Rhinolophus ferrumequinum: one gene and its partners. The protein of the gene in region 1 purifies or fractionates together with the protein of each later gene. This does not show direct contact. Links are inferred from orthologs where the notes say so. Each region holds a gene or a part of one and is shown in the gene's direction. Other genes may lie near its edges.

Region 1 (9,949 bases):
GTGATCAGATTGTTTCTTTAATCACACTGACTCTCTGCTCTTGTAAAGTTACCACATTTTTCTAACAGTAAAAATTTGATCTTTTAATTATGTAGTCCTACTACCTAAGAACACTGGCTACTTACCTTGGGTACCTTTTGGGATTCCATTTGATAGCCTATTTAAGCATTTTTAATGTTTTTTTTTGAAATATTTTTAAAATAGAAGAAAGTACACAGAAAATAGTAAAATTACATTCGCAATACAGGTTTGACATGATATTTTGCCATGTTTCCTTCAGATCTATATTTTAGAAACGTTATAGATCTCGCCCCCAACCCCATTTTGTCTCCCCCAAAAGGAACCTCAGTCCTCAAGCTTAATGTGAAAATGACCATCCAAAGTGGGAAATGGTGTCTCGTTTTAACGTGCATTTCTTGAGTATGATGAAGTTGATTATTGTTGCATGTGTTAGCAGCTGTTTGGGTTTCCTCTTCTACGTTGCCTGTTCCTGTCCTCTTCCTGTTTTTGTTGGGTTGTTGGTCTTTTTCTTACAGATTTGTAGTTCTTTATTCTGATCATCATCCTTTATCTGTTCTACCTCCTTTCTGTGTGTGGCTTGTTATCTAGCTTTCTTTTTTGTCATACGCATGTTTTTAATATCATAGTCAAATCTATCAACTTTTTTTTATGTCTTCTGTAACAAGATAACAGTGTCCAAGGTCATAGAGACAGTCTCCCATGTTTCCTTACTAAGCTTAAAGAAGCTTTTTGCTTTTCATAATTAGGTCTTTAATCCACACAGAATTTATTTTTATGTATGATATGAGGTAGGATCTACTTTTATTTCTGCATGTGGCTAGCCAGTTGTCCCGCAGCGGTTATTAGCTAGTTCTTCCTTTCTCCACTAGTTCGCAATGCTGTCCTTACCCATCAAGGGTAGAGAACATTTTTCAAACGGGAGATATAACTGAATATGAGTCCATCGAATGGGGGCTGAGCAATAGTCAAAAAACATTTCACACGAATCTGTGAAGGAGACCGTTAACCAAGAGCAGAGACTTCCACAGTCTGACCTTTGTGGAATGGAAAAGATACTGTTACGTGTTAAGAGGTGCTCCAGCCCGGGAAGGAAGGAATGCGCGGGTAAGCTGGATGGTTAACTCCTGCCTCCTGGGAGTGGGGTGCAGTGAATCAAGAGGTGAGTGGCCTGCCTCATGGTAAACCTGTCCCTGGAGAGAGCAAGACAGGTGGGAGAGTGAACTGGTAGATTGCTGGGGACGGAATAGTCTGTTTTTTAAGTTGGTCCTATTTTCTGTGTTAAATGATGAGTGGCTCATTTCTTTTTTCTTTTTCTGTTTTTTGTTGGTTTGTTTTTTAGTTTCAAGTATTCAAAGCAACGTAATAGTTAGACATTTAAACCCCTCATAAAGTGATAACCCACCCCAAGCTGCTACCCCCCTGACATCTTATATAGCTGTTACAATACCATCAAGTATCTCCCTATGTTGTACTCCACATCCCATGACTATATATACCTATATATTTAGTTATAGTTGACGTTCCATATTATTCTACTTCAGCTCTTCAGGTGTATAGCGCATTGGTCAGGCATCTACAGTCTATGACGTGATCCCCCTGATAAGTCCAGCGCCCATCTGGCACCTTACATGATCTTTACAACATTGTTGATTATACTCCCCATATTGTATTAACTACGAATTTGTATTTCTTAACACCTTCACCTTTCCCACCCTGCCCCCAACCCCCCTCCCGTCTATCACCCTGATAGATCTAGTACCTATGTGGCACCGTACCTAGTTATTACAATATTGTTGACTATATTCCTTATGCTATACCCTACATCGCCATGACGACTGTATAACACCCAATTTGTTCTTCTTAATCCCTTCCCCTTTCACCCATCCTTAACCCCCTCCCATCTTAAAGAAGTCCCTCTAAGATTCCTTGTAATACTGGTTTGGTGGTGATGAACTCCTTCAGCTTTTTCTTGTTTGGGAAGCTCCTTATCTGTGCTTCAATTCTAAATGACAGTCTTGCTGGGTAGAGCAATCTTGGTTGTAGGTCCTTGCTTTTCATCACTTTGAATATTTCCCGCCACTCCCTTCTTGCCTGCAAAATTTCTGTTGAAAAATCAGCTGCCAGTCTTATAGAGGATCCCTTGTAGGTAACTAAATGCTTTTCTCTTGCTGCTTTTAAGATTCTCTCTTTGTATTTAACCTTTGGCATTTTAATTATGATGTGTCTTGGTGTGGGCCTCTTTGGGTTCATCTTGTTTGGGATTCTCTGTGCTTCCTGGGCTTGTATGTCCATTTCCTTCACCAGGTTAGGGAAGTTTTCTGTCATTATTTCTTAAAATAGGTTTACAATTCCTTGATCTCTCTCTTCTCCTTCTGGTACCCCTATCATGCGAATGTTGGTATGCTTGATATTGTCCTAGAGACCCCTTAAACTCTCCTGAATTTTTTGGATTCCTTTTTTTTTTTTCTGTTCTAGTTGGGTGTTTTCTGCCACCTTCTACGTCGCTGGTTGGATTCTCTACTTCATCTAATCTACTGTTGATTCCCTGTGACATATTCTTCATTTCCGTTATTGTAGCCTTTATTTCTGACTGGTTCTTTTTTATGGTTTCCATCTCCATTTTTATGCCTCCTATCTCTCTGTTGAAGTTCTCATTGAGATCATTGAGCATTCTTATAACCAGTGTTTGGAACTCAGCATCTGATAGATTGCTTATCTCTGTTTCGCTTAGCTCTTTTTCTGGAGCTTTGTTCTGTTCTTTTATTTGGGACGTGTTTCTTTGTCTTCCCATTTTGGCTGCCCCCGTGTTTGTTTCTATGTATTAAGTAGGGCTGTTATATCTTCTGGTCTTAGTAGAGTAGCCTTCTGTAGTAGGTGTGCCATGGGGTTCAGTGGTGCAGTCTTTCTGATCACCTGAGCCACGTGCTCCAGGTGAATCCCTTGTGTGGGTTGTGTGCGCCCTCCTTTTGTAGTTGAGCCTTGGTTGATAATTGCACATCAGTGGGAGGGACTGACCCTCGGGCTCACTGGTTGTGAGGACTGGCCTTGACTCCAGTGGAAGGGTTATGCAGGGGCTGACCCTACAGAGCAGGAGCTGCCTTAGCAGGGCTCTGGTGCCTGTCCAATTTGCTCCTTGGGTGTGTCGTACTTGGAGGCGGCTGGGTGATGCTCCAGCTCGTTTTGAAGCTGGCCACTGGGGGCGCCAGCCCAAGGACCACCTCGGAGGGGATCGGCTGTAGGTCAAGTTCAGCCACAGCCCATGCCCCACCTGGGGCCACCCAGCGGGAGCCAGAAAGAAATCCTTATCGTCTGCCGCCCGTGCTCTACTTGGAAGCGCCTTGAGAGGCCAAGCCACAAACCAAGGCCGGCTGCCCCTAGTGCCGGCTTAGGGCTGCTCAGCCAGAGGTACAGGACACGCTCAAGCCAGATGCTACTTGTTTAGGTTCCACGAAAGTCTGCAGGTTGAGCCAAGGCTCAGGAGGTCTGCATGAAAAAGCCACTGAAAGCAGCCTGGGTGTGCCAGAATGTTGGGTGGGGTGGGGCGGGGCAGGACGGGTTGGGGTCTCAAATTGCCAGGGAGACTCAGGTGGGGAAGTAGGAGGGCTCGACAAAGAAACACTGGCCTCCACCAGCTCCCCTATCCCGGAGAAAGCCGCCTCTCCAGCCCCCGTCCCAAGCCAGACAACTCAGTTCCCCAACATTTGTTCCTGCTGCCTCTGCCCCAGCGCTGGAGCTCAGAGCAAGTGATTCCACTGGTGGGTAAGTCCGTGTGGTCCCTTTAACAGGAGTGCCTGGGAGTGCAGTCACACTGTCTCACTCAGTCACAATCTCCGCTGGTTTTCACAGCCAGAAATGATGGGGACTTCTCTCCCCGGCACTGGGACCCTGGGCTGGGGGGATGCCCACAGCCGAAATATCCCTCCCGATCTTTAATGGTCACACGTGGGTGAGGGACCAGCCCGTTCCACGTCTCTGCCCTTCCTACCAGTGTGGAGGTGGCTTCTTCTGCACGTCTCTAATTGAAAGGCTTCTGTTGTTTGATTTTAGGCGATTCTCAATAATGGTCGCTTTGTAGATTAGTTGTAATTTTGATGTGGTTGTGAGAAGGTGAGCTCAGCGTTTACCTACTGCGCCATCTTGGTTGTCGTCTCATTTATTTCTTTAATGTAGTTATTATATAAGCTGGTTTTTATAGTATGTACAAAACCAACAGGGAAAATTGTCATAAACCAGAGTTGCAGAGCCAACCCCTAATATTTGGTGATAAAAAACGTAGTTGTTTTATAGTACTTTTGATACTTAAAGTTTTCTGTTGCCTATCTCTGTTCCCCTTTGCAGAGTTCACCTGGAATACCTACCTACTTTAGAATTACCTAGGGCATAATTCTAAACTCATTACATTCCTTTTAAATCAGGCAACAAAAATTGTTTATTTGTGTTTGTTTTTAAGGTTGAAGTTAGCTTTAATATGTTCTTTCCAGTGATAGTGGTAATTCTTTACATACTTCTTTTTTTTTTTTAACTCCATCAAACTTTAAAAGAGATTTCTTTTGGGAAACTCAGTTTTACTCTCCATGAGTAAGCTTTTTCTTGTTAAAATAAATTTGAAGAGAACATAATGATGAAAAGGTTCTAAAAGAGAAGAAAACTTTTGTTGCAATTATCTGTATATCGTACTATGTAAAGAAACTGTCAAGGATTTCCAAATTGCGTGAGTTTGTTGTATGTACAGGTAACTTTATTTTTTTTTATATTTTTCATTTTTAAGGACACATACTTCAAATAAAGTCTGCTGGAAAATTCATTGGAATATAAGTTTGATTGCAGTGTTAGAAATACCCAAATAATTCGGAAATCGTAGGAGATAAAATGCAGGTACCAAATACTGAATTCTTTAAAAGGATAAGAGTGAAATGATATAAATACTTTAGGAAGATACATAAAATTATTCTGAGAATCTCCAAAGAAGAGACTGTAATTTAAGGAAATAGAAAGCAATTGTAGAAGGAATCCTTAGAGATCAAAGAAGGTACCAGATGTGGGGCTGAGAATATTCTTTGTTGATGCACAGGAAACAGTGATAAAGCATAATTGCTGGTAACAACAGGTGAAGTAGTATAAATGTCATTAAAGCTTTCTAACCTTTACTACCCTTGATAACATACGATAGCATTTTCTAATACCTTCTCTCTCTCCCTCCCCTGCCTCTCTCCCCCCATTCCTTCTTTCCCTCTCTCCCTGCCCATCTGTCCCCCACCCCCAAAACATTGGTCCTGTTATATGATTCTGCAAGGCATTTACAATCCCTGTCTACTAAATGAGCCGTGTAGCCTCTACACAATACTGTAACTCTTGAAGAGAACTACACATTGTATTGAGGCATCCATGTGAACTTCTTGTTGTTGCCAGTGTTTCCCAAAGATTTGGGGTATTTATAGGTGTTGTACAGTTGCATAAATTTCCGAAGTGCTATACATCGCGGTTACGGTTACGCAGCTGTCTGTGCTACAGATGCTTTCATAGCCTCTCATGTGCTAATGAGCATTGTGAATCTTCTCCGGAGGAGTGACAGTTTGGTGTGGTGGTAACAATTACTGTGATTTGAGAAGCGTTATCTCTGTTTTAAATGGGAGCTGTGAAGGGGACAAATAACTTTTCTTCAAGTCGTGTTTTAGCATTTGTCATTCAGAATTGAAACCTTGAAATAATGAGCTTCCCCCAAAGACTAACTAACAGTTGATTCATTGACAGATGGGAGGAAAATCTAATTTTGAATGTTTCGTCTTTTTCAGATCTCAGTCACAGTGGATTGGCAGATCATTATGAAAGTTCCCACTGGGGACAGCCGCCCACTTACAGAAGTGAAGCCAACTGCAGCTGGGATAAAGTGATAATAGATAGGACTGATAAGGAGGCGTGGCCTTCCATCACAGGAGCAGAGCCCGAATCTGCCTCAGAATGTACTACAGACACTGACTCTGCCTCCAACTGTGGCTCAGAGAACAGTAGCATGGCTACAGGGAGTGCCCAGGGCAGCTTCACTGGACATACCAAGAAGACAAATGGCAATAATGGCACCAACGGCGCACTCGTCCAAAGCCCTTCTAATCACAGTGCCCTTGGAGCAGGGGGAGCCAACGGCAACGGAAACGCAGCCAGAGTGTGGGGCGTAGCCACAGGCGCCAGCTCCGGCCTGGCTCACTGCTCTCTCAGCAGTGGGGATGGGAAAATGGACAACATGATTGGAGATGGGAGAAGTCAGAACTGCTGGGGCGCTTCCAACTCCAGTGCTGGCATTAATCTTAACCTTAATCCCAATGCCAACCCCGCTGCCTGGCCTGTACTGGGACATGAAGGAACTGTGGCGACAGGCAACCCTTCCAGTATTTGCAGTCCAGTCAGTGCCATAGGTCAAAACATGGGCACCCCGAATGGGACCCCAGCAGGCACTTTAGGTGCTTGGGGAAACTTGCTGCCGCCAGAGAGCACAGAACCACAAACGTCCACTTCTCAGAATGTGTCTTTCAGCGTACAACCTCAGAACCTTAACACTGACGGACCAAATAACACTAACCCCATGGACTCTTCCCCAAACCCTATCAATGCAATGCAGGCGAACGGACTGCCAAACTGGGGCATGGCCGTCGGCATGGGGGCCATCATCCCGCCCCCTCTGCAAGGCCTCGCTGGTGCTAACGGATCATCAGTTTCTCAAGTCAGTGGGGGTGGCGGTGAGGGACTCGGCAGTTCTGTGTGGGGACTGTCCCCAGGTAACCCTGCCGCAGGAAATAGCAATTCGGGGTTCAATCAGGGGAATGGAGACACTGTGAGCTCAGCATTAAGTGCTAAACAAAACGGATCCAGCAGTGCTGTGCAAAAGGAAGGAAATGGGACGAACGCCTGGGACTCGGGCCCTCCTGCTGGTCCTGGAATCCTCGCTTGGGGAAGGGGCAGTGGCAGCAATGGCATGGGTAATATCCATTCGGGAGCGTGGGGCCACCCCAGCCGAAGCACCTCGAACGGTGTGAATGGGGAGTGGGGCAAGCCCCCGAACCAGCATTCCAGTAGTGACATCAGTGGGAAAGGATCAACAGGGTGGGACAGTCCTAGTGTCAGCAGCCAGAACCCTGCCATGCAGCCTGGCAGTGAACACATGAACTCTTGGGCCAAAGCTGCGTCTTCTGCAACCACCGCCAGTGAAGGCAGCAGCGACGGTTCTGGCAGTTACAATGAAGGAAGCACGGGGAGGGAGGGGGCGGAAGGCCGAAGGCGGGACAAGGGGATTACAGACCAAGGGCACATCCAGCTGCCAAGGAACGATCTCGACCCAAGAGTTCTGTCTAATACTGGATGGGGACAGACTCCAGTAAAGCAAAACACTGCCTGGGAATTTGAAGAATCCCCGAGGTCGGAGAGGAAAAATGACAATGGGACAGAGGCCTGGGGTTGTGCAGCTACTCAGCCTTCAAACTCAGGGGGGAAGAACGATGGGTCCATCATGAACAGTACAAATACCTCTTCAGTATCTGGGTGGGTCAGCTCCCCGCCTGCTGCTGCGCCAGCAAACACAGGTTGGGGAGACAGCAGCAACAAAGCGCCAAACGGCCCAGGGGTTTGGGGGGACTCGATAAGCTCTACTGCTGTCACTAATGCTGCTGCTGCCAAGAGTGGCCACGCTTGGAGTGGGACCGTAAGTCAGGAGGACAAGTCGCCCACCTGGGGTGAGCCTCAGAAGCCCAAATCTCAAAACTGGGGAGATGGACAGAAATCAAATCCCGCCTGGAGTGCTGGAGGGGGGGATTGGGCAGACTCGTCTTCTGTCCTTGGACACTTGGGGGATGGGAAAAAAAATGCCTCTGGATGGGATGCTGACAGCAATCGATCAGGGTCTGGTTGGAATGACGCTACAAGGTCTGGGACCAGTGGCTGGGGCAGCGGCACAAATGCAAAGGTGAATCCAGGGACAAACTGGGGAGAGTCTTTAAAACCTGGCCCCCAACAGAACTGGGCGAGCAAACCCCAGGACAACAGCGTGAGTAACTGGGGAGGAGCCGCTTCCGTTAAACAGACAGGAGCAGGGTGGATCGGGGGGCCGGTCCCCATCAAACAGAAGGACAGCAGCGAGGCCACGGGCTGGGAAGAACCTTCTCCGCCATCCATTCGCCGCAAAATGGAAATTGATGATGGTACCTCAGCTTGGGGTGACCCAAGCAACTACAACAACAAAACTGTAAACATGTGGGACAGGAACAACCCGGGCATCCAGGGCAGCACGGCGGTCACCACCGCTGCCGCCACCACCACGAGTAACAACACGAGCGTGGTCGAGACGCCGCCGCCACCGCTCCAGGCCAGCGCCCAGCTGAACCGGTCGCCGCTGCTCGGTCCAGGTACGGGATGTGCTTTCTATTATTTAAAAGTTAAAAAGCATTTATAGTCATCAGACTCGTGTTTTCACAGCAGATGGCATTAAGTGCCCTTCACCGTGTAGAATTAAAGCAGGATTCCCTGAAAGCGCTCTATCCAAGAAAAAAATATCTTAAGCACTTTTCAATGGAAAGGAGAAGGAAGAAGCAATAAATGCATCCTCTTCAGGAAAGACGGGGGACCGTTGTGTTAGTCTGTGTTCACTTAGAGTCTCCATTTCTTTATGAGATAAACCAGTGGTGCTCAGCCCCGGCTCTCGTGGGAATTACCTGGGAGCATGGGGCAGGGAGTACGTACTGACCTCAGAGGAGGTTTCTCGTATCACCCGTCTGGAGGGAAGCCCGTCCGCTGGTGGGTCTTAAAGCTCCACGGGTGTTTCTGATGTGTGGTTAACACTGAAATAAAACCATTCTTGTAAAACGTGAATGGCGTTATACAAGTCATGTTTTTATTTCAGTTGAAAGGAAAATCTTAAAATTAGACTAAAACTTGTGTTTTGAGTTCCTGCTTTGTGCAAGGCGCTCTTCTAGACGCATGGAGAAAAGGTGGGAAAGAAGATGCTAAGATGATCCAGAGAAGAGCCTGCCCATGGGGAGTGGGAATTATGACAGAGGAAATAACCATGCAGCAGGGACCTGTACGCACAGATAAAATTCAGCTGGGCTTTGTAACTGCAGAATTAGCAGGCCCCACACTCCTCGCTAGAATGTTGGTCCGTGTAGAAAGGATCACTCCGCTCCAGCCATGGGACCTGCATCAGTGAGTGAACCCTGGGCTCACCAAATCGCCGAGCTCCCAGGTGTAGGAGGGACCAGAAGGAGAGTACAGTCCAACTCAGGGCGTTATATTCAGGGCCTTCCCTCTCCCATACACTCGCCAAGCAACCGGAAGGCCCACGTACAGGGCCGGGAGGCCCCCACCGCACTTCTTTCCCAGTCACTGTGGCTACCATGTCCTTAGACAGAGCCTCAGTCAGCCTCTCTCCAGGTGCTAGAATTGCTCGGATAGTTTGGGGACAGTGCAAAGCAAGGCTGAATTTCTCTTCTCATGCTGCAGAACTTCAGACAGCTGCATCTAGTTTTCCTGTCCCCCGTGCCCTTCTCCAGGAACTGTTCCTAGCTCCTGCAGCTGGTGCTCGTAGTCACGGCTTTAAATCCTTTTTCTGGTCCTCTGGAAAAGCGAAGGCTCGTGAGGGTTCTTGTGCCCAGGACTGACGTCAGGACGATAAGTTTGGTTTCATCAGTGCAGAGTTACTCGCGACTAAAACCTCCCTCACTCCTGAAATCATACTCCTAGTAATGAACGCGTTCCAAGTTTCATTTAGCCTTTTTGAGCCACATCACACCCCTTTTCTTAAATTGAGCTGAAAACCGGAAGTCGCTCTTTTTGTTAAGGCCGCTCTGAAGCCCCTTCTTGCTCAGGACGCACCTGGGTAGTTGGTTGCTTGGTCCCAAGTGTAGAACTTTGTTTCTGGGAAACTTTTGGATTCTAGTCCCCCAGC
Region 2 (9,690 bases), on another chromosome or scaffold:
TCCTAAGGGGACTTTTTAATATGGCCTCTCTGCCTCATGGACCTCGCCTTGTCCCTTGTTCTCTCTGCTCAAGCCACACTGAATGTGTGTTCACCCCTCACACTCACCATGATCCCTCTCACCACAGGTCCTTTACACCTGCTCTTCCCTTTACCTTTTTAACTTCCACCCATCCTGCAGATCTCAGCTTCCTCAGGCTTTCCCTAAGGAAAGTGCATATCCTCCAAACATGTACTCTCACGACAGCTTTTTTCTGAACCTTCTACTTCTCATTTGTCATAATATATATTCAAATATATACATACACATACGTATGACTCTTTTGACAATGTCTGTAGCCTCATTGGTCTATAAGTAGACAGGGTCTATGTTCCTTTTAATTCTCTATTGAATCAACACCCAGCACAATACGTTTCACAACTATTTGTTAAATGTGTAAATTAGTGAATGCAATTCTTATTTGGGGTGATTTTCAAAATATGTAACAACTAATATGGCATGGGCTCTCTCATTTAGTACTAGAGTCAGCTGTAAACAACCAGTATGTTGATGTTCGTACATGTGAACATCAACTACATATTAGCCCTGCTATTACAATACCGAAGGTTCTGATATAAACTTAATGCTTTCATTCTGATCTATTACAGGATTTACATGGGACTTCAAAAATAAATTTAAATGACATATGCAAAAAATCAAATCATATCTATTTGCTTAGTCTGATTTAGACAGCGAACCAGTTAGGATTCATTTCAGCTGCATGTGATAGAAAATCCACATTAACAATGAACAAGCCTTGCATGTGACAAGGTTTTACTGTCACACAAACACACAAGTGCAGTCTGGAAGCGGTATGGAGCATCTAAGGTGTCATCAGGAACCCAGGCTCTTTAATCTTTCCAGTCCTCCATCCCTCTTACTCTTGTCTTCATGGTCTTGAGGGCGTTGGAGTTCCAGCCATCACATTTACATTCCAGACAGTAGAATGGAGGATTGGGTGAAAAGAGAGATGAGAAAGTATGACTTATACCCTGGGGGGGAAAATAGGCAGCAGTTGCTACATGTGAGCAGCCAGATGTCAGGTTTAACAAACAAGGCATTCAAAGCAGCCATTTGTTTTGTGTCTCAGCCTGTAGACAGTGATGCTATTGGCTAGAAATGTCTGGGAGCACTCACCATTTTCCTCAGTTTTGAGGCTGGCCCAGCCCAGTGGTGGTTATGATGTCAACAGGCCTCTCAGCAGCAACCATCAGGAAATTTTGAAATAAAAAGGTTTATGACTCATTAGTCCTGGAGAGTACTCAGCACACCTAGGGGCCACATACAAGGTCACAGTAGAGACAGAGAGCATGGACTAGGGGTTCTGCCTTTATGGGGGTTGGGGATGAGGTGCCTAGAGTTTTGTGGGTTCATTCTTTATTGGTGAGTTTAAAACATAAGAATGGGAATTAAAGTGTGAAGAGGAAAACAGGGTCACTCCAATACTAGCAAACTGAATTCAGCAACATATAAAAATTATGCACCATGGCCAAATGAGATTTACCCTAGGAATACAAGGTAGGTTTAACATCTGAAAGGCAATTCTTGTAATAGTATAATATATCATATCAATAAAATGAGAAACAAGAACCACATAATCATTTCAACAGACACAGAAAAGCATTTGGCAAAATCCAACACCTTGTCATGAAAAATACACTCAACAAACTAGGAATAGAAGGGAATTCCTTAACCTAATAAAGCACCTACAAAAAATCCCAAAACTAACAAAATATTTAAATGTAAAAGACTGGACGCTTTCCCCCTAAGATTTTTATTAGTTTCAGGTGCACAAAACAATGTAATAGAGATTTCACCCCTTCCCCAATCTATTGCCCCACTGAAGGATGTCCCCTCTTTCTATTTCTATTCAAAAATGTACTGAAAGTCCTAGCAGGGAAATTAGGCAAGGAAAAAAAAGGCATCCAGATTGGAAAGGAAGAAGTAAAACTCTCTCTATTTGCAGATGATATGATCTAGTATATAGAAAGTCCTAAGGAATTAACTGAAAAACTGTAAGACCTAGTAAACAGGTTCATCAAGGTTGCAGGATACAAGATCAGTATACAAAAATCACTTACGTTACTATCTACTTATAATGAACAATCTGAACTGACATCTGCTGACACATGCTACAACATAGATGAATCTTGAAAATATGCTAAGTGGAAAAAGCCAGTCACAAAAGGTACACATTGTATGGTAATTCTCTTTATATGAGATATACAGAATATTTAAATTCTCAAATGGTCAATTTGAGACAGAAAGCAGATTATTGATTGCCAGGGGCTGGGGGTTAGGAAGAATGGTAAATGACTAGTAATGGATACAGGGTTTCTTTTGAGTGTGATGAAAATGTTCTGGAATTAGTGGTGATGGTTGCACAACTTTGTGAATCTACTAAAACACCCCAAACTATACTCTTCAAATAGGTGAATTGTATGGTATGTGTGAATTATATGTCAATGTAGCTATTTTTTTTAAAAGGATGAGCAAGGATGAGCAAAGAAGCTGGTGAACATGAGAATATGTCTAAAACACATATACAACAACAACAGCTAAATTAGGGGATGAAAAGCATCATAGAATTAATATAATTATTGGGGTTGTGTGCTCACACACAGAATAATTTTAATTTCAAAAAGATGAAGAACTGCAGTTGATGAAAACATATTGAATATATAAAAAGCCATAAGTTCAGAGTAATTTTTTGAAAAGGAAATAGTTCTGGAGATTGCTGGAACATCAAACTTATTCCTCTGAAAACTGATAATTATAGGGAGAGGACTAAACATTCATCCTGCCTTTCTGTAAACTAAATTTCAGTGTAACCAAATATCCCTGTGGATAAGGAAAAGTTTTTCAGTACAGAAGAATTCTAGGTAGGGCTGGGAGTAGGGTAAACTGAGTGGGTGCCTAGAGAATGAAATTTAAGAAGGCACTCACATAGCCCTGATTCTAGTTAACAAATGCATGAATATCCAAATGAGAAAATTATTTCAACCATTAGTGAAATAACTGGTTCAGACAGTGGCCATTAATGCTTCTAAAACCACTAGGAGAAAGGCTGATAGAAAACGGATAAAAATCAGGCTGTCACTATCTGAATCCAAGGATCAATGTTAACGTCACAAAAAGTGAGACAACCAACCTTCTGTGCCTTCTAATGGGGTTGCAGAACGTACACCTAGGAAGAAAGCACCACCTAGGAAGAATTCTCAGGAAAAAATTTTTTGACTCATAACATAATCAAGCCTTTAGAAGTAACCTGTAGTCCACAGGAAATATTGAGCATAAAGGATGCAGTCACAAGGAAGCGATATGCCAGGGATCTTATACTGGATTCTAATTTCATCAGTAAGTCAATGTAGGGAATAATAAAAGGGGAGCGAACTGTTCTAGATTAAGAGAAACACAAGTAAAATGATCTTGCTTGATCCTGATTCTAAACAGAAATTACCCCCCAAAAAAAATTTACACTGTAGAGGTAATTTCAGTATGGTTTGGTGATTGAATGATATTAAAGAAATATTTTGAATTTTGTTAGATGTGATAATGGTATTGTAAGAAAATACTTGGATATTGCTTTTTGAGTTGCATGTCGAAGTGTTTAGAGGTGAATGATATGCTATCTGGGATTTGCTTTAAAACACTCCAGCAACAAAACATAATAAGGAGGACGGGGTAGATAAAACATGTATATGGTTAAATGATGCTAGGGAATGAACACATGGGATTTATTATACTTTCCACTTTTGAGTATGTTTGGAAGGTTTCACAATAATATTTTCCCAAAAAAATATGGGTACACCTTTATTCCAGAGAAACTCTTTTAACTGTTCACAGGTTTAAGAGTGAGCTCAGCAGCTGTGTTTGTAAAATGAAAATTGGAATTGACGTCAATGTTTGTCAATAAAAGAAGAGATAAATAGAGGTAATGTGACGAGGTTGTCTGTCAGCAGCCTTTCCCAGTTCCTCCCGTTTAATAAAATTCTGATTATATTTATTCCTCGCAGGAATGTTTTGTGGATGCATCATGATAAAGCCAAAACATGCATCGGAATCTCTTTTTGCCAGTAATTGCCTCGTGGTGGGCAGGCAACCAATTTCACGGATGAGATCTTAGGGGACATTTTGGTGAGAGGCGTCTAGGAAAGATTCACCATACTTCTTTGATTCTAAGACACAATATTTCTGTCATCTCTAAAATTGGCAGGCTTCTCACAACTGATAGCATCTCACAATCACTGTCTGACAGATGGCTGTTGTGTGTTATGTTTGTCATTCCCTGTGTATGCACGAGTTTGATCTGAAAACCTACCATTTGTGACATCTTCTGGTAAGATCTAGAAAGTGCCAGAATTAAAACCTGCAGAATGGGCCTTCTTGAGACAACACTATGTGAGGAGATGCTGTAGTGCCAGTGGTACTGAAGTCTCAAATGATATAGGCATTAATTATCTCACTGATGAGAAATCTGCAGGTAAGCTCTTCCATTGCTGAATCAGTGACTCAGCAATGCCAGGATGCAGTTCGACATTCCTGGGATTCTTTCTGTTTTCCCCAGTGGGCCCAAGATAATTGCCACAGCTCTGAGCATCATGCTCTCGCCTCACCATTTTCAAAGCAGGAAGGGGGAGAAGGGGGCAAAGATGACGGCTCTGTGACAATGTGGACAGGCCTTGAGAGTATTATGCTAAGTGAAATACTCATATGTCAGACAGAGAAAGACAAATACTGTATGATCTCTTATATGTGGAATCTTAGGGGGAAAAAAGAGCTTATAGATACAGGGAACATATTGGTGGTTGCCAGAAGCAGGAGAGGGGGTGAGGAGCACAATGGGAGCAGGTGGTCAAAAGATACAAACTTCCAGTTATAAAATAAATAAGTCATGGGGATGTAATACAGAGCATGGTGACTAGTAGTACTCTACTGCATATTTGAAAGTTGCTGAGAAAGTAAATCATAAAAGTTCTCATCACAAGAAAAAAAATATTTGGAACTATGTATGGTGATAGACATTGTGGTGATCATTTTGCAATAAATACAAGTATTGAATCATTATCTTGTACACCTGAAACTGATATAATGTTGTATGTCAATTGTACCTCAATAAAAAAAATTAGACAAATTAAAAGAAAAAAAGAATAGCCTAAGAAGACATGACGCATTCAATATAATGTGGTATCCCATTCCTGGAACAGAAAAGGAACATTGTTCAGAAAATGGAGAAGTCCCCCCGTAATAGTAATAGTACGGATCAAGGTGGTTTTTTGGATGTGACGGATGTACCATAGTAATTTAGTAACTAAGATGTTCACAACAGGGCAGACTAGATGGGGAGTATACAGGAATTATGTATCATCTTTGCAACTCTGTAAATCTAAAACTATTCTAAAATAAAACGTTTTGTTTTTAAGCGGGAACCGCAACAGTGCTTTCTCACAGAGTTGTGAGAAATCAATGAGAGACTAAAGCCAAGTGCAAGGTTCAATGCTTAGCACATAAATGTCAGGTGTGGTTATTGTGATTTTATGTAAAATAAGGAACAATTGCTTGGACACTTAAATATTTTAGTCCGGATAAGCAAAAGGCAGTGGCACGCAGGCCCCTCCCACCCTACCCAGCACATACCCAGAGGCGCAAGCGCGCGCGCACGCGCACATGCGCAGTGGGTGGGGTCGGGAGGACGCCAGCGTGGGGCGGAGCCAGCCACAGTTCCCACGCCGGCCGCGGCCCCCGGAAGTAGTGTGTACCGTGACTCGGGGTGGAGACTGTAGAAGGCGGGATGCAGTGGCGAAACCTTGGTGGAGACGGTGCTGCAGTTGCTAGACGACGTGAACCAGCCTTCGTCACTTCCTCAGCCCTCGGTCTGCCCACTCCGCTGGCCGGAACCCAGGGGCCTGGAGCAGGGGTGGGCAGAGTCGTCCTCAGAGGTCCAGGATAGCAGCCAGCCGGGCAGCTGGAGTCGAGGCCACGCCACCTGCGGGGAAGAACTCAAGCCGAGGCGGGAAGATGGCTGCAGACAAGCCTTCAGGTAAGGCGCCCGCGCCCCTCTCGCTGAGACGGCGGGACACGCGAGGGTGGGCCAGCCCTGCGCGCGGAGGCGGCGGGGCCCGGAGTGAGGACTAGGGGTAGAGGACTCGAGGGCGACTTTAATTTGGGCGTGCATTTCTCTCCCCTCTCTGGTCCCAAGGCCGTCGCTGAGGTCTGATAGCTTTTTTACCCAAGTGCAGCTACTGACCGCTTTTGCCCAGTTTCCCAGACTATCGCTGGCTGAAAAAGCTTGCATTTATTTGGCCGCTTCACAGACTTTTTCGATTTCCTAATGGGGATGGCAAAGCAAGGAAAGTTCACCCTGGAGCAAGCACACAGCTGCTCAGGCTAAGACTCACCTGGGCTGTTTTGGCCTCATCAACCTGCCTCTGGTCAGGTACATGCTATGTATAAGCTTCGTGTAAACCACTTATTTAAATAGACATGAAGTCATAGTGTGTGGCTCTGGTCTGTGCTCTCTAACATCCTGCGTTTAGAACCTGTTTTCCCTAGTTCCTCATGACTAGCTAATTTGATCTCATTGATTTTGTTTATGGATTACTGCCCTATTCCTAGAATCTTTTTCATTAAGGAATATAAAATTATTTCCAGCCTACCTCTGGGACGGTGTGGTGTATGTTTCCTAAAAGAAATTAATGTTCTCTGTGGCATCCACAAAGTTGGAAGTGGTCAACACTTAGACTTTACAGTGAAATTACTAAAAAAAAAAGGAAAAAAAAACTCAGTGTGCTGTAGGTTGTCCTAGGTCCGGATCTTAGTAACTGACAGATAAACTTGAGTTGATATTTTAGTGAGTCCATCCTAATACAAGTACAGATGAATAAAATTGGTAGAGAATCTCTTCAGTAATCAGCTGAAAAGAAAAAAAACAACAGAAAAAAGGTTTAGAAAGTTGAGGCTAATGGAGTGTGTTACAGAAGTTTAGATAGGCCGGTCAGGGAAAGCCTCTGGTGAGGTGACATTTGAGCAAACAGCTGAATGAAATGAGGAGTAAACCATAGGGAATGGGGGGGTAGGGAAAACGCTTCAGGGAATAAGCCTGACCTGCCCAAGGCTGGACCAGGGGAACCAACATCTTCATTCTTAATGAAGACAGTGTCTCTCTTCACCAGATTTGCCATTCCATACCTACTTGCCTATACCATTGCACTTGCCTGGAATGACCTTTTTAGGCCTAAAGCCCATCTAATTTTCAAGTCCTTCCTCAGTCATAAAGCGCTCTTGTACTTGTTCATTCATTCATTCGCAAAGATTGAGTGCCATGTGTTGCCTTAGATGTTGAAGAAATGAATATGACATACTCCCTGCCCTTGAGGACCTACTGTTCAGTCTGCCAGAGACACATCTAATGACACTCCCATTCAGTACAAGCTATGTAATATATCTAGGAGAAGAATAAAGTCCACAGTGACTTGTGGGCTGTTTTTTTTTTTTTAAAGATTTTATTGGGGAAGGGGAACAGGACTTTACTGGGGAACAGTGTGTACTTCCAGGCCTTTTTTCCAAGTCAAGTTGTCGTCCTTTCAATCTTAGTTGTGGAGGGTGCTGTTCAGCTTCAAGTTGTTGTCCTTTCGATCTTAGTTGTGGAGGGCGCAGCTCAGCTCCAGGTCCAGTTGCCGTTGCTAGTTGCAGGGGGCTCAGCCCACCATCCCTTGAGGGAATCGAGGAATCGAACTGGCAACCTTGTGGTTGAGAGGACGCGCTCCAATCAACTGAGCCATCTGGGAGGCAGCTCAGCTCAAGGTGCCGTGTTCAGTCCTAGTAGTAGGGGGCAGAGCCCACCATCCCTTGCGGGACTCGAGGAATTCAACTGGCAACCTTGTGGTTGAGAACCCACGGGCCTATGTGGGAATCGAACCGGCAGCCTTCGGAGTTAGGAGCGGGGAGCTCTAACCGCCTGAGCCACCGGGCCGGCCTGCGGGCTGTTTCTTTGGTTGGTTTAAGTTTATAGGCCATATTTTAGGAAACTTCCTATCTTGATAATAAGGTTGAATTCTGTGTTAAGTGGGTGAGAGTTTAGTGTGGCTCTCTTGAATCTCTCTGCTCCTCTCCATCCCCATTTCAATTGTACTAGGTCTGGCCTTTATCTCTCATTGTGATCAATTTCACATTAAGCAGCCTCTTGACTGATGTTTGTCTCTTCCTGTCCAATCCATTCTTCTTACTGCTGCCTTTTCATTTTATTTCTGAAACACTAATTGGATCATACCATTACCCTGCCTATAAACTTTCTAAGACCTTACCATCTTTTGTGCATCAAAACCTTACTCCTTAATGTCATTTGTGAGGCTCTTCACAGTCTATTTCCAGCTGAAGTTTTTATATCAACACATCTAGCTCTTCACGCCACAAATGACTCTCTTGGAAAGCATTGTGTTCCTTTGAGCTTCTGGGTAGTAATGCCCTTTTTCCTCTTCTGTGTCTGAACACTCTCCTCATTCAAAATCTAGTTTATATGCTCCTTCATCTCTGCGCTCCTGGGCCCAGGGCCCTTTTCATAGAGGGTCTTATGTGTTTGTTTTTCATTAGGTAGAAAAAAAAAGCCCATGAAAGAGTTTAGGAAGGTAAGTGACCTGACCACGCTGGCTATGGTAGAGGGTGAGTTGAAGTGAAACAAGACTGGAAACCCAGACACTAGCTAAGACTAGCTAATGTTGTCATATTTATATATTCAGTAAATATTCACCAATGGCCTGCCCTGCCAGGCACTACAAAGTCTCTGTTGTAATGGAGCTTATAATGTGGTATGAAGGACAGGTATACGTGTAAACAAAATAAGAAATAATTATGATTTCAAGTTGTGATAAATACTGTGAAGAAAAGAAAAATGAATAAGAGGATGGAGGATAACTGAGAGCAAGGACTCTATTTTGAATAGATGGGTTAGAGAAGGAAGAGCTCTCTTAGATGGGACATTTGAACAGAGACCCTAAAGAAAGAGCCAGCCATGTGGGGGAAGAATTTTCCAGATAGGAGGAGCAACACATGGGGAATGTTTGAAAACAGCGAGAAAACCCCTTGAGGAAAAGGGATTTTCGTGTTAGTTATGCTCTCTCTCCAGCGCCTAGAACAATGGCTGGCTTATAGGAGGCACTCACTACTTACAGGAGCATAAGTGAGCAACGGAAGCATGGCAAGAGATGAAGTAAGAGATGTGGCAGGGGATAGTTTATGTCAGGCCTTGTAGGCCATGGAAGAAGTTCAAATTCATTCTAACTAATGAGAAGCCACTGGGAGATTTCAGCAAGGGCATGATGTGATCTGATTTAGATTTTAACTGAGCCAGGTGACAATTGATAAGTTAGGAGATGGAGTTTGAAATCAGGCAGTCTAGGTTCATTCTAGCTTGGTATTTGTGAGACCTTGGGAACATTTTAGGAAACTTTTTAAAGTCTCGGCTTTCTGATGTGTAGAAAGAGAAGGATAATATCTACGTCACAGGATTGGTAAAGGGTTAAATGAGATCATCTCAGGCCCTGGTTTTTAAAAACGATGACTAATACTACTTTAGGGTAGTTAGTGGTAGGATGGAGAGGAAAGGCAGACGTGAGCAATGTTTAGGGAGAAAAACTGGTAGAATTTGTCACGGAT
Region 3 (9,976 bases), on another chromosome or scaffold:
TAGAATTATTATTTTGTATTGACTTTCTTAAGAATGAATAATAATTGTGTAGTCCTACTTGTGAAGACTTTTTTCCCCTTGGCCTATTGATATACTGAGGCATCTTTATTGTAAATATTTTCCCATTGAACCCCATTATGGATTAACGGAGGTGAAAGATGATAATAGGAGTTAATTCTGGGTTGAAAGTTGAGTTGTTAGTTTACATTCTCTAAGGAGTCAAGATAAGACCCCACAGGTTAACTACTATTTTTGGGGTCAATTTGGTATAGTAGGTTTACATCTACTTTTCTTTCAAAGAGAATGCCTTTCCTGGCTATATCTGACCCTAAACTTCAATATCCTAGAGTTCTGTTCCTAGACTTGGATGTTCCTAAGACTCTCCAACCCACTAAGGAGCCTGTTCAAAAGGCTCTCCTGTTCTGCAGGCCACGTTTAGGGTTTTGGGGTCTCCATGTGTGCTATAGAAGACCCAGGGAAATAGGCTTGATCTGGGTCAGTTGAGTTCTAGCCTGGGTGAAACTACACTGTGAATCTGCCTTGGGTGTCAGAACCAGGGACAGCTCCTCCTATCCCTCCCCCTGCTGCCCCTGCCCTGGTTTGGGCTGGGGAGAGAGTGGGCAGATTTGGACATGATGTACTGCTCTATCCTCTTCTCACTGTTGCTTGCTTTCTTCTTTATGCTAGAATATCACTACTGATAGTTCCTGGCATATGTGCTGTTTCTTACCTTCATGTTCTTTGCTGATGCTGTTTAGTATGCCTTTCTACCATCCTTTGCCTGGCTAATTCCTGCTCATCCTACCAGGCCTGTTTAAGAAGGTGTCTCTTCTAGGAAACCTACCCTGATTATCCCAGACTGGGTTACACATACGAATACCTCCTTTTAGTTCCCATGGCACCCATGCTTGCCTCTGTCATTATACTCAAAATTGCCCTGAAATGATCATCTGTACTGTCCAATAGCCACTAGCCACGTGTATTAAGCACTTGAAATGTGGCCAGTCTGAATTGAGATGTGCTATGAGTGTAAAATACACACTAGATTTCAAAGACTGTATTAAAAAAAAATGTAAAATAATAAATTTTTATATTGATGACATGTTGAAATGGTAATAGTTTGGTGTTAAGTAAAACATTATTAAAATTAATTTCATCTGTTTCCTTTTTACTTTTTATAATGTGGCTGCTAGAAAATCTAAAATTACATGTGTATCTCACATGATATTTCTATTGGGTAACACTGATTTATGTTTATCTCTTCTTAGGGGTAGAGACTGGCTCTGCCATCTTTGTTTTTGTATTTCTGGAAAAAAATACGTAGGGGTGGGTGGGAATATCTGATACTAGTCCTCAGAACTTGGAGCTGGAGTAGCAAGCGTCCAACAGACATTATATTATTTGGTTTTTCCATCTAGGAACTTGGCCTCTCTCTCTACTTAATTCAGCCTTTTTTGTATGTCATCTTATTGATTCTTACAGATTTTTCTCACACATCACAAACATCTTATGAAGTTTTTTTCTAAGTATTTTGAATTGGATATTTTATCTTTACAGTTTATAATTAGTTAATACTGGTACCATCAGAATGCTACAGATTATTGCTTATTTTCTTGAATCTTTCCACTTACTTAGTATTACTAATTTTAATAAGACTGTATACTTTCTTATTATATAATTGTATCAACTACAATAGAGATATTTTCTTACATACTTAAATTTACTTCTCTCTCTCTCTCTCTCTCTCTCTCTCTCTCTCTCTCTCTGGCTCTCTCTTCTGGCTAGAATGTCCAAACTGGTATTAAAATAATATTAGTAGTGAAGAGTGACCTCATTTATTACTGTTTTTAAAGGGAGAGTACTGCTTCTTCATTAGCTAAGAATAGATATTCTATCATCATGGTAAGTATGAGTGATTTTAATTATTTTAAGACTGGATATTAAAATGTATCAAATATTTTTATCTATGATAATTGTTTATTTTTGATTAATCACATATATTGTATATTATATTAAGATTTTTTAATTTTTGAACCATCCCTGAATTACCCTTGTGTTGATATGCTATTCTTTTAATAATAATGTCATATAGTGTTGTGGTTAAGAATGTTGATACTGAAGCCATCGAGCCTGGATTCAAGTTCTGCCTCTGCTAGTTGCAAGCTGTGTTATCTTGATCTTGGGCAAGTTACTTATCCTCTCTGTGTCTCTATCGCTTTTTTTTTTTTAATGTCTGATCTTATTTATTTGTTAGTCTTAGGAAATCTCATTTTTGACTGAATTGCAGGTTCTGCTAACTCTTTTGGGCCCCAGGTGATGTGGCACAGTCATATCTATGTCTTCATTTATTATTATTATCATAATTTTAATTAATCTGTTATAGAATTCTATATGCTAACATTTGACTTGTGATGTTTGCATCCACATTCCTGAGAATTCTTTTTATAATATCATCATCTGATAAGAGATGAGGATCTTTATCTGCTATTCTGAACAAATTAGGAAAATTCCCCTTTTCCCCATGTTCTAAAACCATTCAAATAACGTGGAACAGGATTAACTCTTTCAAGAATGTTTGGAAATATTAAACAGTGAAACTCCTGAGCCTGGTGTTCTTTGGTTATTTTTGATAACTTTCTCAGCGTCTTCCTTAATTGTTGCTCAACTCTTGCTTTTGAGTCCTTGCTTTGCATTTTTTAAAGTAAAAATATATATGTAATTTAAATTAAATCTCTGTGATGAGTTTTAAAATTTAGGAGTGATAAATATGTTCAATGTCTCAATTGTGGTGATGTTTCATAAGTTGATACATATGGTAGAATTAATTACATTGTACACTATATAAGTGCAGTTTATTGTGTCAATTATACTTCAATTTAAAAAAGTGATTTAAAAATGTCTACCAATTTCACAAGTCTTTACAAAGTACTAGCTGACATTTATTAATTCCATTGTTCATGATTTCTGATTTTTAAAATTATCTTCTGAAATACATTAAAAGATGTATTTTGTTATAGATAGAAAGAGGTGGTGCATGCAAGAGCTGTTGGTGATTCATTTCCTGATAGTAGGGTATACATTTTGTTTTATGTCTATTATACCACCTTGATTTTATTGTTCCCAGGCTGTTTTTTAAATATTAAGGAAAGGAAAATATAGATTGAGATGCAGATTTTTCTTCAGGCCATACTTGTTGTTTTGGGACCAGGAAACTCTGGGTATAGAGAAGGTATAAAAGTGGAAGGACCTGGGCTCTGGCCCACTCAGCAGATGCCCTAGGGTGTGAGTTAGCTATGGACTGAGATGCAAGAATGGAACTGGAAACAGAGGCAACCAATAGCTTTCTGGAAGAAAAGCTATCAACAGTTACTGGAAGAATTTCTCAGCATAAAACAGCAAAATGCTATCTGGATTTCCCTTATATTCTACCACTTTGCCTAGCCAAGAGTAAAATCCCTGATGATGGAGACACTGCAGAGAGACCCGGAGAGCCCAGGGCCCGGCTTGACTCTGCTAGCCACTTTGGACCTGGGTCAGAATAGTGACCAACGGCTTTCCACAAAGTTGAGTGTGAGGCTTGGTATTTAGAACAGGGGATTCAAACTCTCATGGAATGCTGAGCTTCCAGCTTAGTTATACCAAGGTAAAGGTCTTGGCTATTTCTGGGGATGTTTTGATGCCATCTATTTGATTCAAATCAATCCAGATTTACTGATCATTCTAGGCACAGCTTGTGCCAGCCACTAAAGGGTGACAGAAATGCATCTGATGTGGTCCCTGTTGTTAAAGAACTTAGACTATAGTGCAAGAAGCAGCCAATAATTACTGTGTTTCCCCGAAAATACGACCTAGCCGGACAATCAGCTCTAATGCGTCTTTTGGAGCAAAAATTAATGTAAGACCCTGTCTTATTTTACTAGAATATAAGAACGGGTATAATATAATATAATATAATATAATATAATATAATATAATATAAATATACCAGGTATAATATAATATAATACCGGTCTTATATTAATTGTTGCTCCAAAAGATGCATTAGAGCTGATTGTCTGGCTAGGTCTTATTTTCAGGGAAACATGGTACAGTATGATAGCAGCTGACACTTTGCCTGCATTCTTCTATGCACTGTTCTGAGGTCTTTATATGTATTAACAACAGCCCAATGAGGTGGAAGGAAATGAGGGAGAAGGAAACTGAGACACAGATAAGTTATTTTCCTAGTGTTACACAGCTTGTGAATGGTAGCACCTGGATTGAAACCCAAACAGTTTGGCTCAAGAGTCTTTGTTTTTAACTTTATCCTGTACAGCAGTGGTTCTCAAAGTGTGGTACCCAGATTGGCAGCTTCAGCCTCACCTGGAAACTTATTAGAAATGCACGTTCTTGGGTCCCACCCAAGACCTACTGAATCACAAGCTCTGGAACTGGGGCTCTGCAATCAGTGTTGTAACAGGTTCTCCAGGTTATTCTAATGCCTGCTGTTTGAGAACCTCTGTTAGAGAGAAGCAAGGCATACTATGATGAGTGTCAGAAATTAATCTCTCTATGGGTAGGGACTGGGTGTGTGAGATCTGTCTCTTAAGTTCCTTGCCCTCAGCGCAGCATCTAGTGTAAAGTAGGCATAAAAAAATACATATGGATGAATACATATGAATAAATATAAGGGAAAGTGATGTTTGAACTGGGTTTCTTACCAAGTATCAACTGCAGCAGACCGAATGGGAGGACTCTTCCCAGAACCTGTGAGACTAGCGAGGAAGTGGTGTGATACTTTTGGCAAGGTGTAATAAGGGTCTGTACTATCACAAGGAACCATCAGAATGGCAGGGGATCATGTAAGAGTAGTTTAGGAGGTAAACATGTCAGGACTTGGTGAAAAGCTGAATAGGGGGAAGAAGCAAGGGAGAGAAACTTCATTTCTGGGATGAAGGTGCCATTTGCAGAGACAAGAAGCATAGGACAAGCATGTTTGTGGGGTAAAGATAAAGAGTTTGGTTTTGGACTCTAAATTTGAAGTACTGGTAGGATATCCAGGTGGAGCTGTCCAGCAGACACTTGGAAATATGAGTCTGAGACTTGGCTGGAAATAGAGATTTGGAAGGATAGTTGAGCCGTAAGAATGGGTGAGACCTTCAAGGGGAAAGTGGAGAGTGGAATGAGAAGAGAGCTGGGTTTGAAACCATGGGGAACACTGTTATTTAGGGGGGCAAAAGCAAAAGGGGGCTCTTGATTAAGACCGAAAAGGAGGTAAGCAATAATAGGAAATCTCAGAAAATACTGAAGCCAAGTAGAGGGCTCAAAAAAGAAGGAGAGACACAGTGTCAGATGTTGCAGAGAAATAAGAATTGAAAATTATCCTTTGAATTTTGACACAAAAAGTCTTTTAAGTGAAGTGGCGAGGACACGCAGATTGAGTTCAGGCGTGAGCTGTAGATGAGAAAGTGGAGACCGGTGCTTGCCAGGTCCCACAGACAGAACTCTGTAGCTGCAGTCAAGTTGAAACTGTGACATCGTCCAGGGTAGTAAGCAGGTCTCTTTCATTATCTGTGGTCTCTGTGCCCAGCACTCGGCCTGGAAATGAGGATGGCATCAGTGAATTCAGTGACTAGGGACGGAAAAAGGCTTCAGGGAGGCAGTAGCTTTGCAGCCAAGGGGTGAAGGATGAAAGAAATGGGGAGGCGAGGTGGTAGGCAGAGCCGCGGGGTGATGGGTTGCACGGAGAATGTGAAGCGGGCCTTGGAATGAAGTAGGGTTCCTGTAATGTGCGCGTGGCTCTGTGCAAAGCGGGGAGGCTCTGTGTAGGCTGGGAGGGAGCTGTTTGGGTGAAAGACAGGGCCGGAGGCTGCTGCGGGGGGTGTCCCCCCGCCCTGCGCCACTTACGCCACTGCGCGGTTCCGCTGCGCCTCTACCCAAGCCCTCCGGCCGGGCTGCATGGCGACGGGTGACCGCCAGGGGCCGCTGCCTCGGTCCCGGGTGCCCCCGCCCCTCTCCATTGGCCTTTGTTGCCGTCGGAGCGCCCCGCTTGACTCGTTCCCGTCCGCCCCCTGGGCCTGGCGGTCGCGCCTGCGCACTGGCAGCTGGCCGGGCGCTCGCAGGGGGAGCTGCTGCAGGCTCCGCGGCGGCGGCGGCAACGGAGGCTGTGGGGGTGGCGGCGCGAGCGGCCGGGCTTCGGGGGGGAGCCGAGCCCGGCCCGGGAGCCCGAGCAGCTAGAGTGCAGGGTACCTAGGCCCCTCACGCTGGACTCCACAGTCTCCCGGCCGCCTGACCTCCGCACGGGTATATGGGATGGAAGCGGGACCCTCGGGAGCAGGTAAGGGCCCCCGGGAAGGGGGGACGGTGCGTGCTCCAAAGGACCAAGGGACTCCCGCGTGCAGAGCAGTAAATCCGAGTCAGGGAAGGTTTCTTGAGTGAGGAGAGGGGCTCTTGTGGGATGGGGGGCCCAGTTTGAAGGGGGCTGTGTGCAGTTCCGGGGGAAACCTGGTGAAGGGAGCCCTGAGATCGGGGCCGTTTATCAAAGGAGGCACTATGCACTCCTGGAGGTGGGAAGTAATCTGGGAGAAGGGCCTGAACGCACGTAAGGACTCCCGGAGGTCCCTGGAGGCCTAGGGAGAGGCCCGGCAGGTGGCACGGGGCGGGCTCCAGGTGTCCAGGAGAGGAGGGGGTCGACACAGATGGGCCCAGAACTGCCGCATGCCGGGGGCGGGGGCTCAGCCGGTCTGGGCTGGGTTAGTGTCTCTTGGGAGAAGGCGCCAGAGCTGGACTGTGAGCTCCGCCCCAGCCGGGCCTGACGCGGGGGCGAGGGTCAGGGGGCGGTGGGTGGGGATCCAGCCCTGGGATTCCACCCGGTGAGTCCGGGGAGCTGGAGCAGAGGCGCTGGAGCATGCGCGGAGGTGGCAGCTGGAAGGGGCAGCCCTATGTGGTGGGGGCGTGGCTGCCCGAATCTCCCCAACTCCCCACCCCGCGCGATTTGGCTTGGAAATAAGAGCGCGCCGATGGGGGTGCATTCTCTCTAAGGTTATGCTGGCAGAGCGCAAATGGAAATGGTCCCCTTCCTCATCTTGGGGCTTCTTAACCCTTGGCAAAACCCTCAGTCACAATTTGCCAAGAATGAGTTGAGGGAAACTGCCAAAGTGCCTTATTCTGCCACTGGGACAAGGAAAGACAAGGCAGTGTTCTTGGGGCGGGGCCTCCCTAAAGATAGGCCTTAGGAAAGGTATTGATTACTGAGGGACCAAGGCCAGGCAGGCCCTGGTTTACCTGGAAGAGGTTGTCTGCCTGGTCTAATAGCGAGTAGAGATGGGATCATTTAATCAAAGGATAATGACCTTTCCATTGAAATATCTCCTGAGGTGACAGCCTAATCTCATTCTATACCTTAACACTTTTATTGCTCCTATCTCCCACTGGATATCTTTTTCCTCTCTCTAATCCCCAGAAACTGTCAGGGCCATGTCATTTGACCTAAGATTGCCAAGCTAGCCCTTTGTCATCTATCAGTTGTTTGGGGGAGGAGGGGTTTATAACCTTCACCCTGGTGAGTTCAGGTGATGATAGCCTTACTTTCTCCTTGTTCATGGGCAATCAGGAGAAAAGGAGATAAAAACAGGAGAAACTGAGGCTGGACTGCCCCACGAAGACTGGAGTCTCCAGAATGGGCTGTGGGATGGTGGCACCACCTGTGTCCTGTCCTTTGATGGGAGGAGCATTCTGGACCTGGGACTCCTTTAGGTCGTATCTCACCAGCTCCTACCATTTGATCTGGGGGTGGGAGTAGGGTTTCCTTTGGGGACTTGAATTTCATTTCTGGTGGAAGAATCTTTGTCTTTTATACCAGATCTAATCCCCTCAAGGCACTAGCTCCTACCAACTCATTCAAGTCATCCATTCAGAGATCTGTAAGTACTTTCCTCCAAGAGAAAACAACCTTGGAAAGGCTGTATAGGTCTTAAGGTGGAGTGCAGGGAGCAACAGACTTCAGAAAACTACTTCCTCCTTCCCTCAGGCCCCTTTCTCCATTCCAGGAACTCTCCTGGTTTTCTAGGCTGGAGACTTTGCAACAACCTGTGGACTAGAGTAGGAGTAGGTCACAGGTCCAGATAGATTGCTGGGAGTTGACACCCATGCCAGACTGCTAATGATTTTATTCTGATGAATTCCTAATGGGCTCTGGAGTGATGAAAAAACTGTTTCTTCCAATAAATAAGCTTCTAGGGAAGGGACTAGAGCTTGGTATCTGGAGTTGGCTGTAGCCTCGTGGGGCAGGCTTTGCTTCATCAAATGATGTAACTGAAATTCATTTTGGAAGCTATCAATAGAGGTACCCACATAAGTGCGTCCTTCTTAGGCCCAGACTAGTCTCTTGGAAGTTGGAGGACACAATACACAAAACTAAGGTATTGTTGCTGGCTTCACTGGGCCTAAGTCCAAGTGTGCCTTCTGTGCTCAGGTGTGTTCCAAACACATACTAGACTGGTAGCTCCCTGAAGGTACAGGTAGTGTCTAATTTATCTGTGAAACCAGCACATGTGTAGGTCCTGACACAAAGTACATGTTTATTAACTGAACTGAGTCCAGTCCAGAGTGACATAAATGGTTAAGCACGTATGTGAATATTTAATAATTTGCGTATACTTATGTGTGGACAAATTCTTTTTGGAGAGATTGGCCTCTTAGTCTTTGCTTACTGACAGCTAACCTAGCCTTGAGTTTGTCTTTTGAATAGGCTGTCTGGCTCCTTGGGAGTTTTGTGGGCCTCAGAAACTGCAGGGAAAGAATCCCTGAGCCAGGCATTTCAGCTCTGTTACTTTTCCTTCTCAGGGCTGGTTGGGATGGGGGAGGGGGAGTGTCCTTTTCACGGCCCCTCCCTCCTTGCTTTTGTCTGTAAGGAAGGGCCCCGCCCCTTTCCCCCAAGGCCCAAGCTTTGTCCTCTGTGCTGGGGCCCTCATCTGCATCACAAAGTGGCCGTCTGTCCCTGTCTGGGTCTGAAGGGAAGTGTCTCCCTTTCTCAGACTAAAAGCTGGGGGCTGGGGCACTTTCTACAGCTGTAAGGCTTGCGGAGGGATGGAATTGGAGAGAGCTTCCCCCTTCCTCCTGCCTTCCCTAGTTTTGGGATGAGGAAGCATGGGGGCTCTCTTGTTTTCCCAAAGCCTCCTTGGAGTGGAGGATTCCTAAGGCTGTCTGGTCTGTAGTCCTGTTTCTGGGAAGAGAAGGCTTTGAGGCTACAGTGTCTGTCCCTTCCCCCATCAGTACAACCCAGCCCCCAGCACTAGGGGATGTCTTTCTCCCAAGGCTCCAAGCGATTATTCAGCCTAGGAGGCTAAGGAGGTGAATGGAATGTAAGAACTTGGGGAGGGGAAGGGTGTCTTTCACCAGCTATATCACCAGGGTGCATTTTTGTTCTGTGCTGGGTTTGTAATAGTTTCTGAGCAGTTTGCAGGTGTTCGTTTGTTTTTATTTTCTTTGTGGTTTGTGTATGGATCTGTTTGTTCATTCCTTTAATATTTGTATATTGAACACACCTCCTGTGTGCCAGACACTGAAGATTCAATAATGACCAAGGCAGATAGTTCCTGTTTTTGAAGAACACACAGTCTAGGGTGGTGAGGGGTATATGTATAAAGGTAAACTGTCTAGGTCTAAGTGAGTGTTTGGATGTGTATGACAGGAACGTATCACACTGTGTGTGCGTCTATGGCTTGTATGTAATTTCTGCCCAGCTCTTTTTGGGGTAGGTGGCCAGGTGACAGTAGTTAAGCCTTCGCTTCCCTGTATAGCTGAGTCCTGAAGGCCTTTTCCCCCCAGGCTGGGCCTGTATTTCCCAGTGTGCAGAGTGGGGCTGGGCTTGACAGGTGCAGGAGACAGCAGCTTAGCTCTGGGAAGCGTGCCCCTCCCGTGAATGGTTCTGACCTCTTCCTGACCCCCCAGTTGAGGATATGCCCCATCCCCCCAGCCTGGCAGACTGAAAGCAGAG

What was found. Proteins that work in one complex are often made in the same cells at the same time.
Region 2: the proteins of TNRC6C (region 1) and CNOT10 purify together in Homo sapiens (co-immunoprecipitation; 3 studies listed by BioGRID and IntAct, with this or other methods). This does not show direct contact. The link is inferred for Rhinolophus ferrumequinum from reciprocal best matches to the Homo sapiens genes TNRC6C and CNOT10.
Region 3: the proteins of TNRC6C (region 1) and AGO1 purify together in Homo sapiens (affinity purification with mass spectrometry; 5 studies listed by BioGRID and IntAct, with this or other methods). This does not show direct contact. The link is inferred for Rhinolophus ferrumequinum from reciprocal best matches to the Homo sapiens genes TNRC6C and AGO1.

Annotation. Positions count from the first base shown.
Region 1 is NC_046304.1:52,113,946-52,123,894, forward strand, and holds the start of TNRC6C (trinucleotide repeat-containing gene 6C protein), read left to right. Parts: upstream 1-5,893; 5' UTR 5,894-6,031; coding exon 6,032-8,411; intron 8,412-9,949. UniProt on the Homo sapiens protein: Plays a role in RNA-mediated gene silencing by micro-RNAs (miRNAs). Required for miRNA-dependent translational repression of complementary mRNAs by argonaute family proteins.
Region 2 is NC_046300.1:18,101,176-18,110,865, reverse strand, and holds the start of CNOT10 (CCR4-NOT transcription complex subunit 10), read left to right. Parts: upstream 1-5,789; 5' UTR 5,790-6,057; coding exon 6,058-6,079; intron 6,080-9,690. UniProt on the Homo sapiens protein: Component of the CCR4-NOT complex which is one of the major cellular mRNA deadenylases and is linked to various cellular processes including bulk mRNA degradation, miRNA-mediated repression, translational repression during translational initiation and general transcription regulation.
Region 3 is NC_046292.1:24,901,594-24,911,569, forward strand, and holds the start of AGO1 (protein argonaute-1), read left to right. Parts: upstream 1-6,075; 5' UTR 6,076-6,291; coding exon 6,292-6,316; intron 6,317-9,976.